Linked DNA regions of Diceros bicornis minor. The protein of the gene in region 1 purifies or fractionates together with the protein of each later gene. This does not show direct contact. Links are inferred from orthologs where the notes say so. Each region holds a gene or a part of one and is shown on either strand. Other genes may lie near its edges.

Region 1 (7,424 bases):
CCCATCTAGGATGTCAGGTGTGTGCACGTAGGAATGATTGAGGAGGAGAGGCAAGGAAGTGCAGCAGAGGGCAGATCATGCAAGCTTTTGTGTGACAGGCATAATGTCTTTGTCCTGTAAGGGGGGCTCCAGAGGCTATAGATGTATATAGGAGATTGGGAGACTAAAAAACAGTTTTATTGAGGTATAATTGATATACCATAAACTGTACATATTTAATGTCTACAATTTGATGAATTTGGATATATGCTTATACCCATGAAACCATCACCACAATATCAAGGTAATAAATATATCCATCACCCCCAGAAGTTTCCTTGTGTCCTTTTGTGTATATGTTGTGTGTGTGCTAAGAACACTTAACATGGGATCTACCCTCAACAAATTTTTTAATGCATAGTACAGTATTGTTGACTATAGGGAGATGTTTTGGAAGTAAAATCATTTGGACTTCAGGAAGAGAGACAGTATACAAGTAACTGAAGTCTAGGTGACATTGACCCATTGGTTGAGAAGCTGAAGAAGCAAATTTTGGGGGGATGATAATTTTAGTTTAGATGGTTTGAGGCACCTGTAGATACCCAAGTGGAGGTGTCCAATAGGCCATTGGATTAGTGGAGTTGGAGCTCAGGAGAAACTAGACTAGAAATCGAATTTAGTAGTTGAGCTCCTCTTTCAACAATGGTGGACTAAATAATTTGTCCAATCCTCAAGCTGAAGACATCTAAAAATGTTGGATGAAATACTTTAAAAAATCAAAGAACTAATAAGACTGAGAAATTATTGGTGTGAGAGCATGAAAGGACAGGAAAGCAGAGAGATGAGACAGCAGTAGGACTGCTTTTACCCTGGGGTCATTTGCTGATCCGAATTGGTGGCAGAAAATAGGCTGTGTGGTGCAAATGAGACAAAAATTGGAATCCAAACTTCCCCAAAGATGAGAACCTGGTTTGGGCCGGCCCCGTGGCTTAGCGGTTGGGCGCGCGTGCTCCGCTACTGGTGGTCCGGGTATGGTCTGGGCGCGCACCGAAGCACTGCTTCTCGGGCCATGCTGAGGCCACATTCCACATACAGCAACTAGAAGGATGTGCAACTATGACATACAACTAACTACTGGGGCTTTGGGGAAGAAAAAAAGGAGGAAGATTGGCAATAGATGTTAGCTCAGAGCTGGTCTTCCTCAGCAAAAAGAGGAGGATTAGCATGGATGTAAGCTCAGGGCTGATCTCCCTCACCAAAAAAAAAAAAAAAAAGATGAAAACCTGGTAAACTGCCTTCCTGTTTTTCATTAGAATCCTGAAAGGCTGCACTCCTAGAAACCTAGGAGTAGGGTAAATCAGAAGTAAATAGAACATGAGGACCCAAAACATTCAAAACCAAAATTAAGAACCAATCGATGGGTTTAACAGCAAGTTAGACTTGACTTAGGAGCAAGTAATGAATTGGAAGAAAGGACAGAAGACACTACCCAGAATGAAACATGAATAAAAAGGAGTGAAAAACATAAAAGAGAGGGTTAGGGTCATGGAGGATACTGTGAGAAAGTCTGACACACATTTATTTAGAGCCCAGGAAGGAGGAAAATAAAAGACTAGAAGCAATATTTGAAGAGACAATAACTGAGAAACTTTAAAAATAGATGAAATACATCAAGCCACAGATTCAGGAAGTTCAACAAACCAAGTAAGATTTTAAAAAAAATCCATATCTGGACCCATCAGAGTGAAATCACAGGAAATTAAATCAAAGATGAAATCTTTAAAATAGTAAAAAGAGGATTGATTACCTTCAAAGGAGCAACCATTAGATTGCTAGAGAACTTTTTTTTTCAGAGCAAAAATGGAAGCCATAGAAAGTGAAATAATATTGTAAACGTGCTGAAAGAGAATAACTTCCAATCTAGAATTCCATATCTGGAGAAAATGTCCTTCAAAAACAAAGGTGAAATAAAGAGGTATTCAGACAAACTGAAATGGAGAAAGTTAGCCACCAGCAGAGGGGCACGAATTCTCAAGCAGAAGGAATATTATTCCAGATGAATGGTTGGACGTGCAGGAAGAAATAAAGAACATTAAAAATTGTGAATGTAGGGGGCCCGCCCCGTGGGGTAGTGGTTAAGTGTGCGCACTCTGCTGCTGGCGGCTGGGTTTGGATCCCTGGTGCGCAGGGATGCACGCTTGTCGAGCCATGCTGTGGAGGCGTCCCATATAAAGTAGAGGAAGAAGGGCCGGATGTTAGCTCAGGGCTGGTCTTCCTCAGCAAAAAGAGCAGGATTGGCATGGATGTTAGCTCAGGGCTGATCTTCCTCACACACACACACACACACACACACACACAGATTGTAAATCTAAATGACCACTAATTTAGGTAATAAGCATTAATGTCTTGTGAGATTGAAAGTATTTACAGAATTTAAATTCTGTACACGTATACAGCTACGCCTACCCAAGAGAAATGAGTGCATCTCACCACAAGAATCTTGTACAAAACTGTTCCTAGCAGGTTTATTCATAATGGCACCAAACTGGAAACAACCCAAATGTTTTCTGTGTGTCTCAGCCAGTTGGAGGTCCTGAGTTCATCAACAGGAGAATGGATAAACAAACTGTGGTATATTTATGCAATAGAATGCTACTCATAAATAAAAAGGAACAAATTGCTGATGAATGCAAGAACATGTGAGAATCTTGAAACGTGTCAAGCAAAAGAAGCTAGATAAAAAAGAGTACATACAGTGTGAGTCCATTTGTGTGACATTCAAGAACAGACAAAACTAATCTATGATAATGGAAACTAGAATAGTGATTGCCTTGGGGGCAGGGCAAAGGGGTATGAGCTAAGTTTCTGAGGTGATAAAAATGTTCTTTATCTTAATCTGGGTGGTGGTTACACGGACAGAATACATTACTCAAAATTTATGGAGCTGTAGACTTAAAATCTGTGCATTTTGCTGTAGTAAATTATACATCAATAAAACACTTAAAAGAATTACACAACAGCAATAGTATATAATTCTGGAGGGAGTGACGGTGGTAAATGGAATTAAATTATTTCTGCATTTTCACCAGGAGGGTAAAAATGTTACCAAAAATTAGATTTTGCTAAGTCAAGGACGCATGTTGTAATTTTTAGAGTAACCTCTAGAAGAGTAGAAAAAGTGCGTAACTTCCAATTAACAGAGGCAGGGAAGGAATAATAAATATTAACCAATGCAAAAGAAGGCTAGAAGGAGAAGAAGGATTACAGAAGAAACGAAAAGCACATAGTAATATGATTGATTTAAATGCAAATACAGTATATCCGTATACGTGGCTGGTGAAACCTCATATAAGGGTAAAATACGCCAGAGAGTTTGTGGAGTGAGGAAAGAAGAGAAATTGGGGGGAAATCAGGCAATAATGGGTGGGCCGCGTCCTTCTTTCCTTGCCACTTCTTTTGCTCTCGTTTTCTGAGCTCTCTTTCTAAAGGCTGCCTCGGTTTCCCTTCTAGTCCGTCGCCATCAGTGTTTTCCCCCTCTGATTCCATCAATATACTTCCTCCTTTTCTCAAATCCGCTTCTCCTGCCTCGAGTTTCTAGCCTTCTGTGAACTACACCCAGACGTAGTGTTTATTGTTGTTTAAAGTCTCTTCCTATTCCCCTATTTCACATGCTGATGGCAAAAACAGCTTCTAAACGCTGCATTTTTGACGCAGGAAAAAGTAAAAGGAGGGCAGTTACCTTTACTGAGAAAATTTAAGTTGAGAAGAAAAAGCACACGCCTGTAGCAGAGGATGGTTTCGATCCATCGACCTCTGGGTTATGGGCCCAGCACGCTTCCGCTGCGCCACTCTGCTAGCTGGAGAGAAGGTGCCTCATGGTTTCTATAGAAAGTTTTTAGCGCGTTAGCCGTCCTGCCTTCTTTACACAGCGCCGTCTAGTGTCTGGTTGAATAAAAATGCTCATTTTTGTTAAGTCTGTTCTTATTGGCTAGATCCTGACACAGTCAGCATTTTGTATTGGTTCATAAGCCAGTTTGCCATTGTAGACCAATAGGCATAAGCGGCGGGGTAAGGCGGGAGCCAATCGCGCCGGAGTTTGTTGGGACACGCCGGCAAGCCGCCTCTCCATTTATCTCTTCCTCCGAGGAAAGGGGCGGTTGGTGTGGCCTCCATTGTTCGGGTTTTAGGGCGCCATGAGGTAAAGGCACTGGGGTGCTGTAGAATGGTGTCGGGTATTCGACCGAAAACTTTGGGAAGGTGGGCCGAAAGGAGTCGGAGGAGCTGAAAGGGCCACGTGTCTGGGGGCTGCCCTAACACCGAAAAGGCCTCGTCTGGGAGAGTAGGGGAGGTCGGAGGCTGCGGGGGCGGGGAAACTTGGGCCCGGGCTGGGGGTGGGGCGCAGGAGCGGGCAGGCGGTCGGCCCCTCGGTTTTGGAGGGGTCTGGATGAGGGGTGTCCTCGGGTCCCAGGAGAAGCACCCCCATCTAGGCTGGGAAGTCTGGAACGTGCCTCATTCATTCTATGCCAAGTGCTTGACATAGGAAATGCCCGCTAAATGTTTTACTACGTTAATAATAAATGAGCACTCACTTTAGTGCCTCAGGTATTAGGATTGGCGTCTTCCAGGGGTCATGGGGTATTTCTTGTAGGGGTTCAGTGTTTGAGCCCGTCATTATGTTTGGGTGGAGTTGTGACTAAATTATCCAGAATGAGGAGGTCCTGGGGGTGAGGCTGAGCATTTGGAATGGGGAGAAGCGTAGGTGGGAATGGGGTCTCTTGGCTTCCAAAGGGAAGTTCGGAGCGGTGGAGGCAGGCTAACTTGAAGTGATTTGACCGGTATGGTGGAGATGCCTTCAACAGGTCAAAACAGGTTAAAATCTATTTATGCATTTCTAGGGGTGACAGAGGCCGAGGTCGTGGTGGTCGCTTTGGTTCCAGAGGCGGCCCAGGAGGAGGGTGAGTGTCAGTTTTTAGCATCTCTGCACTGCTTAATTTACACTTCAGTCATCTAAATAGGAGTTTGGAGTGGACTGATGCTACCTGCTTTTGTGAGATCCAGCTGTGGTTTAGAAACGTTTCTTTTCATCCTCTCCTGCTAAATGAGTTTGGCCCCATTAGGCTAAGTCACTTGATTTCTGTGGTGAATAATTTGGATTTTTCTTGTTTTAGGTTCAGGCCCTTTGTGCCACATATCCCATTTGATTTCTATTTGGTGAGTATCTTGGCCCCTGTTCACCTATAGACATAGAAATGGAGCCTGGACACTGTTTCACTTGTAGTTTCCTGGAGCCCAGCATCTCCCTGTCAATGAAGTCTTGAATAGTGGCTGGAGTAGGAAAAGGGATTAGTGAGTGGAGCTGGGGTTTTGAGTCAGCTGTGTGTTGCTTTAAGTACAAACACAGTGTAAGGAGGGTGGGGAAGATAATTCCTTGGCTACTGTTGGCAGTAAGGTGATTGTAATCTTTGTTCTGAATAATTAATTGTATCTCTGGCTTATCTGTTAATATAAAGGTAGTGAGAGCTTAAATTATGGCTGTTCCTTGTAGCTTACATCCTTGTTTGAACATCTTGAGTAGACAGGTGTTGTAGAATTTTCTATTTTCAGTTTTTTCTGTTGCGGCAACCGAAAAAAACAATCTTCCCTGTATATTATTTTTGGTAAATAGTATATAATTATTTACTTCTGATTTAGTGTGAAATGGCCTTCCCCCGGGTCAAGCCAGCGCCTGATGAAACTTCCTTCAGCGAAGCCTTGCTGAAGAGGAATCAGGACCTTGCTCCTAATTCTGCTGAACAGGTATATTCTTTTGGCTTCCTTCCTGAGATTTCACTAAGAATGCTAGGGAAGGGGCCAGCATGGTGGTGTAGTGGTTAGGTTTGTGTGCTCCACTTCAGTGGCCCAGGGTTTGCAGGTTTGGATCCCCGGCCCTGACCTATGCACCACTTATCAAGCCATGCTATGGCAGGCGTCCTACATATAAAGTAGAGGAGGATGGATGCTGATCTTAGCCCAGGGCTGATCTTCCTCAGCAAAAAGAGGAGGAGTGGCAACAGATGTTAGCTCAGGGCTAATCATCTTCCTCACCAAAAAAAAAGAAAGAAAGCTAGAGAAGTGAATAACTGCTGGTGAGGTTAAGGTTACTGTTATCAGAGCCTAAACTCCACGGTGGGTTGAATTGTTCTTATTTCTCATTGTGAGTGGAGGGAGACTGCCAGATGAATATATAAACAGGTTACATATGCATTCATATTTTTATTGAGGAATCTATCTTTGGGATCAAAAACTTGTTCTTTTATGACATATTCAAGGCCAGAAGGGTCAGAGTGTTTTCAAAGCCCTATATCAGTATTGATTCCACTTGTATGGAAGGGATTAGGGGAAAATATTCAAATTCTGAGAAGTTGCTCGTAATTTTTCAACTTAGGTTATTTTTGTTTCCTGCTGTTTTTCAGGCTTCTATCCTTTCTTTGGTGACAAAAATAAACAATGTGATTGATAATTTGATTGTGGCTCCAGGGACATTTGAAGTGGTGAGTTTTTGATGATTTATTTAGTCCTAGGAAAGGGCAGCCTTGCTAGTGTGGAAGTTTCCTTGGCTCCTGTCTCTTAATTCTTTGGTTGCCTATTATCCAAAGCCAAGCCGAAAATGGGAAACTACACTGGAATTCCTTTATAGTACTGATTATGGGGACAAGACTTATATCGTTGTTATCAGCTAGCCGTGATGTATCAGGCTTTTCGTTTGGTTGTTTGGGGGATATCACTTGACCTCTGCTACTTCAAATCTGGGTCACAGGAAGCTATGTTGTAATTGAGTTCTGAGAGGCAGTCTTTTCACTTCTAATTTTTTTTCCTGAAATCCCTTTTCCAATAGCAAATTGAAGAAGTCCGACAGGTCGGATCATATAAAAAAGGAACAATGACTACAGGACACAATGTAGCCGACCTAGTGGTAATCCTAAAGATTCTGCCAACATGTGAGTGTACCTCTTTCTGCCCACGGGAGAACATAGCAATTGGGTAGGGATGTTTAAAGCCCAAATTTCTTCTCTTTTGCACCCCAGGGGACATTTGGCAGTGTCTGGAGACATTTTTGGGCTACTGGCATCAAGTGGGTAGAGGCCAGGGATGCTGCTAAGCATCCTCCAGTGCACAGGACAGATCCTATCCCCCAGCCCCCCAAAAGAATTATCCAGCCCCCAATGGCATTAGTGCCACTGGTTAGAAGCCCTACTGTGGAAAAGGGGGTGGGTATAGGAGGAGGTGTCCTGTCCTGTTTCCTGAGCCAATTTTTCTGTCCAGGCATTAGCGTCCACTTGTAAAAGTGTTGATTCTGTTGCTTGCCCTTGTTCCAGCCTTGAACATGGGGCAGATATCAGAGTGTAAAGTAGCTTAGAGATGTATAGAACATCTACGTAAATAATTACAATGTTCATTATCTCCTT
Region 2 (8,316 bases), on another chromosome or scaffold:
CACCCCGGCTGCCATTCTCCCACCCCTGCCATGACACTCCCTCTGCCTCTAAACAAACTTTCAGGTAAAACTAACCGTGCAAAACTGGCAGTCAGGACTGACAGCAAAAGTGGCTGCATGCTGGAAACGAGTCTGGCAGCTCCTGAAAGGGCTATGCAGCTACCACATGACCCAGCAATTCCACTGAGGACATATATCCACACAGAAACTTGTTCACCAATGGTCAGAGCAGCACTACTTATAACAGTTCAAAGTGGAAACAACCCAAATGTCTACCAACAGAGGAGTGGATAAACACAATGTGGTCTGTCCATGCTGTGGACTATTATTCTGTCATAAAAAGGAATGGAACAGATACTGCTACACCATGGACAAACCTTGAAGACACGCTCAGTGACAGAAGCCAGACACAAAAGATTACATACTGTATGATTCCATCCATATGAAACGTTCAGAGTAGATAAATCCAGAAAGATTAGTGGTGGCCTGGGGTTGGAGAAGGGAGGATTGACGGGCTGAGGGTTGCAGGGTTTCTTTCTAGGGTAACAAAAATGTCCTAAAATTGATTGTGCTGGTGGTGGCATACCTCTGAATGTATTAAAAGCCACTGAATTGGACACTCGAAACGAGTGCATCATATGGTATGTGAATTCTATCTCAATAAAGCTGTGAAACAAAAGAGACCACACAGCAGTTGACAATTCACAGCCACTCATCCAATAAGACGGAATGAAAAGGCATTCACAATGGGAGGTTTTTTGAGTCTTTCTGGAAGCCCCATCGTATAGCTGGTTATACAGCCAACTCCTGAGGACAAATAAGGAAAATCCTCCCAAATGCTGCAGGCAGCCAATGCCACCAACTGGCACAGGAGATAATTAACTTTTTTCCCCTTTGTGATTCTATTCAGACTTTCCTATGCCCAAATTCAGGGCCTCCTCTTGTGACACAAAGGATATCACTTCCCTTCCCCAAATACAAATCAAAAGTTAGGCTATAGGTGGGTGGATCCTTAGGCTTCATTAAAAGGAAGGACGGACAGACCCTTCTGATGTCATCAGAACTCAAATGAGCTCAACTGCAAGGTTTACCTTCGGTGGAGCGTTTTAATGCTATTATTTTGTACAGTGTTCAGGTGCAGGAAAATAAATTGATTACTTCAACTGAAAGAGAAGGACACGCCTCACAATTAATCGCAAACAGATGGCAAGGAACAAAACTAGAACTCAGAGCTGCCCCAGGTTTGCTGTTTTATATTGGCTGCAGTTAAAAAAAGATTTGCAGTAAAACGACTACCTTTCACAACCCTGAGCTGCTACAGAGCATGGCACACTGTTCAACCAAGAGATCTTTATCCTCAGCCTTCCAGGTATGCTGGCCACAAGTTACAGGCAGCACTATCTGGTCCATTCATACACGAGTCCAGATTTCATGAATGTTGAAAAGTAACAAAAACATAGCTGCTACCTTCATTTCACAGCTGTGGAAACAGAGGGGTCTACAAAGCTTGAAACTACAGGCGTTAGCAGCAGCCTCCAGCGGCTCCTTCATTTCTCCATGCAAACTCCCCTCTCCTACCTCCCTCCACCATATGTAAACAAAACTGAGAAACATACATACTTGTACACCTGTTCTCCCCAATGCCCCACCCACTGGACTTCTATTTTTAAGGAATCTGGGGTTAGAATGAGTCAAATGTTTTCTGCTTGTATTAAGGGCTAAAAGAAAGAAGTGGGTGGTCTACCCACTGGAGTGACTCAACCAACTAGAATGTAAGCCCCCTCCCCCAAGGACAGGATCTGAGCTCATTCCTGCTGAGGATGGGTGGCTCCCCAGCCCTGGCAGTGGGTCCTCAGAGCAAAGGACACCTGTGACAAAGTGAGCCTCTTAGCTCCTCCCTGGTTGAGAATTCAGGAAAATAAACCTGAGGGAGGTGCTGGGCACAGGGAAATTTGGTAAACGTAATCTGAGATCCAGAGAATGACCGCAACATTCCCTGGGACCCCAGCCAGACCCCTCTCCCATCCTGGGGCAGGGACCCAGGTCACCGAAATGTACGCCTGATACTTCTCATAACCAAACTCAAATTTAAAACACCCAAGTAGGCTTTGCCAAACGTCCATATCATTAAAAACAAAAGTTTCTGACGTGGCAGACCCATTTATGTAAAACTCACTATCACTGCCCCATTGGAGGAACAAACTCAAACCCAACTTTTCCAAGGCAGGGCTGTGCAGTTACGTAACAGGTCAGTTTCAGCAACAGGCAATGCAAGAAGGAAAAAAAAAACCCAACCTGCCTCTTCAATAATCTTAATAGCCAACGAGCGTGGGGCTCTCGACTGGAGGCAGAAATTCCATTTCTGTTCCAGGAGCATCTACCGTCACCCTCGCCAGCGTCCCTGGGCCCGGGGAAATTTGAACCCGCTGCTCAGTGGGCATGACTGGGGGGGGTGCCCAGATTGCTGCGACCACAGGCAGCTAGTAGGGCAGGGCGGCGGGACTGGCCAGAGGAGGGACCGGGGCAGATACCCCCGGAGCCGCCTTGAGCAGGGCACGGACCCAGGTGGAGGGGTACTGGGGGGCAGATCACCCCCGACCTGGCCGGAATCAGTGCTAGGGCAGGTCACCCCGGACAGGCCCGGAAGAGGACTTGGGGCAGGTCACCTAAGACCCAGCCTGAACTAGATCCTGAACAGATGACCCGGACGCAACCAGAGCGGGACTCAGAGCGGGAACCGGGGCAGGTTCCTCCCGGCAAGTCATGAGTGAGATCCCGAGCCAGGTTACCCGGCAAGTCCTGAGTGAGATCCCGAGCCAGGTTACTCCGGACCCGGCCGGAGAGCGGGACCCGGGGCGCATTAGCCCGGCAAGTCTCCGGCCGCCGAGAAGAAGCCCGTCCGGGCTTCCGGCGCCGCCATGTGCCGCTCACCTGCGCGTCGAGCTGTCCGGCCGCGGCGCCCGCGCCCACGCCGACCGGGCCCCCTGCGCCGCCGCCGCCGGGGCCGCCGGGGGGCGTCTGCGTCTGGCTGGGGATGGTGAAGTCGGTGAACTCGAACTCCGAGCCCTGCGTGTCGGCGCCAAGCAGCTCGGCCTCCTCGGTGTCCAGGAAGGTGAGCGTCTGCGAGCTGGGCCCGTACGCCTCCACGCTCATGGTGCCGCCGCGTACGGCCCTCAGGCCGGTTCCGCGCCGCACTCGAGCCCGCCGCCGCGCTGAGGCCTAGGCCGCAGGCCTCGGACTTCGGACCGCCGCCGCCGCCGCCGCGCTCCCGCCCCTGGACCGGACCAAAACGCCTGCCGCGGCGCAAGCCGGGCAGAGAGTCACGCGCGCCGAGCCGCCCCCGCCGCCGCCGAGCCCCTGAGCGCCGCCGCTCCTCTCGGAGCCGCCCGCCGCTCGCAGCTCCCAGCAGGAACCGCCGCCGTGCGCGTGCGCGAGCCCGACGCCGGCGCAGGCGCGCGCGCTCCTCGCGGCGCCTCCAACCGCGCCCGGACGCCCGGAGCCGAGCGGGCCGACAGGAGGCGCAGCGCGCGCGCGCGGGAGGCGGGGCTTCCAACCGCCGCCGCGGCGGCCGCACGAGGCCGTGGTCCCGCCCAAACCGCAGTTCAGTGGCGCCCGGGCGGCGGGCGGTGAGGGTGTGGTGGTTGTGGCCGTACCGACTGCGACAGTGCCTCGGGTTAATTGAGCAGTAGCTGAATGCATTACGTAGGTGGTCTTGGAACACCCAATTGGAGAGGCTTGGCGGCACGGCGCACCCTCATGTCTCGGAGAAGCTTCCTGGGCCTCGGTTTCCCCATCCGTAAAATGGGGGTGCCTGACCCATAGTAGATGCTCACTGTGCACTGGTTGAATAAACAAATGGGGGCAGTCCTTAGCACGGAGCCTGGCACGCATAAATGGTGGTTGCTGCTGCTTCGGACAATAATATTATTCAAGAGGCAGTATATGATAAAGCGATTGGGAGCGCTTGCGCTGGGGTGAAATCCAGATCTGGCCACCTACTGGCTGTGTGACTGTACAAGTGAATTCGCCTTTCTGAGCCTAAGGTTTCCTCCACTAGAAAAGGATGATAATAACCATCAAGATGGGATGAAGAATAAGTGAACTACTATTCACTCCCTTAATTGTTAAGTAAGGAAAGTTCCACATGGACAGGGGCTGGCTTTGTTCATCACATGGTCTTCCCCTTGGGAAGAGTAATGCCCACACACAGTAGGTGCTCAGTAAAAGGTTGTCCAAGTTCAGCTACTGGTTTATGAGCCTTAATCTCCTAACTTCCAGCCTCTAGCTTCCTTTTTTGTAAAGTGTCTTGGAGAACTCGCCACTTCCTTTCTGTCCCAAGTTTCTGAGGCTCTCTAAATACTTGAAGTCAGCTCACAGGGCTCCTGGTTTGCACAGCTGCACTAATAGTTCCTGATCCTGCCTGGTTCCTCATTTTCCAATATTCCTGTCACGACGTATAAGAGGTTCCTTTTTCCTTCTTCACATCTTTTCTGGTCTCCTACTATGCACTAAAATGTGAGAATATAGAAAATGAATAATTAGGTGCTCCCTCTCCAGGAAGACACAGTTGAAGAGGGAATCCCAACAAGCCAATGGATGGTTTTGATAAAAAACAAAGCCCTCTTTGGAAAATATCCAATTGAACTGGTAAAAGCATATAAGACCAATGTGGTAACACTATCAGTTTTAAATGCAGGCCCCTCTGCACCTTTGATCTAGCAATTCCACTTCTAAGGCTCTCCTCTTTTTTTTTTTTTGCTGAGGGAGATTGGCCCTGAGCTAACATCTGTGCCTATCTTCCTCTACTTTTTTTTTTTTTTTTGGTAAGGAAGATCAGCCCTGAGCTAACATCCATGCCAATCCTCCTCTTTTTGCTGAGAAAGATTGGCCCTGAGCTAACATCCTTGCCCATCTTCCTCCACTTTATGTGGGACGCTGCCACAGCATGGCCTGACAGGTGGTGCGTCGGTGCACGCCTGGGATCCAAGCCCGGGCCGCCAGCAGCAGAATGTGCTCACTTAATGGCTACGCCACGGGGCCGGCCCCTACTTTTTTTTTTTAATATGAGAAGCCACCACAGTACAGCTTGACAAGCGGTGCAATGGTGCGCACCTGGGATCTGAACCTGCGAACCCTGGGCCACCAAAGCTGAGTGGGCACACTTAACCGCTTGTACCACCAAGCCGGCCCCTAAGGCTCTCCTCTTATTTCCTACATATACTCACATTTGCAAAATGACATTTTGGATGGCACACTAAAGCATGTCTAATACAAAAGAAGTCCGTAATGGAATAATTGAAAAAAAAAGATATAAACATATAGAAAACAAATAACAAGATGGCAGAAATAAGTCCTTATCAGTAATTACATTAAATGGAAATGGATGAAACTCTTCACTTAAAAGGCAGAGATTGTCAGATAAATTTTTTTAAAAAACACAATTTAACTATATGCTGTCTACAAGAGAGTCACTTTAGATTCAAAGACACAAATAGATTGAAAGTAAATGGAGGGGGCCGGCCCCATGGCTTAGCGGTTAAGTGCGCACGCTCCGCTGCTGGCAGCCTGGGTTCGGATCCCAGGCGCGCACCGACGCACTGCTTCTCTGGCCATGCTGAGCCTGAGTCCCACATACAGCAACTAGAAGGATGTGCAACCATGACTTACAACTATCTACTGGGGCTTTGGGGGAAAAATAAATAAATAAAAATTAAAAAAAAAAAAAAGAAAGTAAATGGAGGGGCTGGCCCGGTGGCATAGCGGTTAAGTGCGTGCACTCCACTGCAGCAGCCCGGGATTCAGATTCCGGGTGCGCACCGACGCCATGCCATGGAGGAAGATGGGCATGGATGTTAGCCCAGGGCCAATCTTCCTCAGCAAAAAGAGGAGGATTGGCATGGATGTTAGCTCAGGGCTGATCTTCCTTACCAAACAAAAAAAAAAATAGAGGAAGATAGGCACAGATGTTAGCTCAGGGCTGATCTTCCTTACCAAAAAAAAAAAAAAAAAAGAAAGTAAAGGGATAGAAAAAGATATTCCATGCAAACAGTAAAGAAAAGAGAGCTGGATTGCCATATTAATATCAGATAAAATAGATGTTAAGACCAAAATTGTTACTTGAGACAAAAAACATTATATAATGATAAAAGTTCTAATCTATCATGAAGATATAACAGTTATAAACATATATGCACCTAACAACAAAGCCCCAAAATACATGAAGCAAAATGTGATAAAATTGAAAGGATAAATAAACAATTCAACAGTAACTATGGTTTACTATAGAGCAATGGAGTCAAAGGCTCAGGGAGATTGGAATGTTAGAGTGGATTTGTCATTTAAGACTCACCCTCAGAGGGTCTAGAGGATACACCTTTCACCATGATTGTGAGAAATAAATTTGTGAGGGTAGCCCCAGCATCCTTGAAGAGCTCTGTGATCATTCTTCTTTGTAGGCCAGAATTTATAGTGCTACCTGCTGCCACTTATTTGGGAAACCTAAATGCAAGAGAGTAATTGGATCCCAGAGTGTCAGGGGCCAAGCGGTGGCACTCAACTACCAAAGGCAAGGTGGGTGTGGTCACCATAATGGACATTAGAGTCGAAGCAGCAATCAGAAAAGTCTGACTCACAGAGACTTTCTGCGTTGACTAGTTGATCATGGTGTTCCTAGAAGTGAAATAGATGGGAAGCCTACTAAATTCTTACTTGCTCTATACGAGCCGAAAAGTTCTAGGTCAAGTGAGCAGAAGTATAACTTGAATCATAAAAACAGAGAGTCACAGCCCCCTCAATCAATTCTCAAAGTTGAGGCAGTTCACAGACCCAGAACCCTTTGAATGAAGGGGAGGCTGGGTCCCCTCAAGGAAGGACCCTGGTGCACTACTGGAATTTTATGCTGTAAATCTTTCTCCCAGACTTTCCCTGTGGGGCCTACAGCCCTTTACCAGGGTGACTATGCATTGGGGAAAGGGAAATAATCAGACCTTTCAGGGACTAATGGACACTGGCTCTGAACTGACACTAATTCCAGGAGACCCAAAATGTCTCTGTGGTCCACCAGTCAGAGTAGGGCCTTATGGAAGTCAGATGACACTGGAGTTTTAGCTCAGATGCATCTCATGCTGGGTCCAGTGGGTCCCTGACCTCCCCCATCCTGTGGTTATTTCCCAAGTTCTGGAAGGAATAATTGGAATAGATACACCTAGCAGTTGGCAGAATCCTCACATTGGTTCCCTGACTTGTGGAGTGAGGGCTATTATGGTGGGAAAGGCCAAGTGAAAGCCACTAGAGCTTCCTCTACCTAAGAAAATGGTAAACCAAAAGCGATGCTGCGTTCTCAGGGTTCCACAGGTGAGTGCTGCCATCAATGACTTGAAAGATGCAGGGGTGGCAATTCCTACCACATCCTCATTCAGCTCCCCTGTTTGGCCTGTGCAGAGGACAGATGGGTCGTGGAGAATGAGAGTAGATTATCATAAGCTTAGCCAGGTGGTGATTCCAGTTGCAGCAGCTATACCAGACATGGTTTCATTGCCCAGCAAATGAACCCACCCCCTGGTACCTGCCATGCAGCTACTGAGAAGCAAATGCCTTTTTCTCCACCCCTGTCCATAAGGCCCACCAGAAGCAGTTTGCTTTCAGCTGGCAAGGCCAGCGACACGTGTTCACTGTCCTACCCCAGGGGCATATCAACTCTCCAGCCTATGGCATAATTTAGTCCACAGGGACCTTGATCACCTTCCCCTTCACAAGATAATCACGTTGGTCCATGATATTGATGACATTATGCTGATTGGACCTAGTGAGCAAGAAGTAGCAACCAGGGGCCAGCCCGGTGGCGCAAGCGGTTGGGTGCGCGTGCTCCGCTGCGGCGGCCCGGGATTCGCAGGTTCGGATCCCAGGTGCACACCGACACACTGCTTGGCAAGCCATGCTGTGGCAGCGTCCCATGTTAAGTAGAGGAAGACGGGCACAGGTGTTAGCCCAGGGTCAGTCTTCCTCAGCAAAAAAAGAGGAGGATTGGCAGATGTTAGCACAGGGCTGATCTCCTCACAAAAAAAAAAAAAAAAGAAGTAGCAATCACTTGAGAGTTATTGGTGACACATTTGCTTGTCAAAGGTTGGAAAATAAATCTGGCTAAAATTCAGAGGCCTTCTACTTCAGGGAAATTTCTAGGGGTCTAGTGGTGTGGGGCATGTTGGGATATCCCTTCTGAGGTGAAGGATAAGCTGTTGGATCTAGCCCCTCCTACAACCAAAAAAGAGGTACAATGCCTAGTGGGCCTCTTTGGATTTTGGAGGCAACATATTCCTT

What was found. Proteins that work in one complex are often made in the same cells at the same time.
Region 2: the proteins of ILF2 (region 1) and UPF1 purify together in Homo sapiens (affinity purification with mass spectrometry; 3 studies listed by BioGRID and IntAct, counting the BioPlex papers as one, with this or other methods). This does not show direct contact. The link is inferred for Diceros bicornis minor from reciprocal best matches to the Homo sapiens genes ILF2 and UPF1.

What each region holds. Positions count from the first base shown.
Region 1 is NC_080743.1:57,899,078-57,906,501, reverse strand, and holds the start of ILF2 (interleukin enhancer-binding factor 2), read left to right. Parts: upstream 1-4,082; 5' UTR 4,083-4,172; coding exon 4,173-4,177; intron 4,178-4,874; coding exon 4,875-4,934; intron 4,935-5,147; coding exon 5,148-5,190; intron 5,191-5,670; coding exon 5,671-5,775; intron 5,776-6,431; coding exon 6,432-6,509; intron 6,510-6,853; coding exon 6,854-6,956; intron 6,957-7,424. UniProt on the Homo sapiens protein: Chromatin-interacting protein that forms a stable heterodimer with interleukin enhancer-binding factor 3/ILF3 and plays a role in several biological processes including transcription, innate immunity or cell growth.
Region 2 is NC_080759.1:6,386,678-6,394,993, reverse strand, and holds the start of UPF1 (regulator of nonsense transcripts 1), read right to left. Parts: upstream 3,347-8,316; 5' UTR 3,154-3,346; coding exon 2,932-3,153; intron 1-2,931. UniProt on the Homo sapiens protein: RNA-dependent helicase required for nonsense-mediated decay (NMD) of aberrant mRNAs containing premature stop codons and modulates the expression level of normal mRNAs.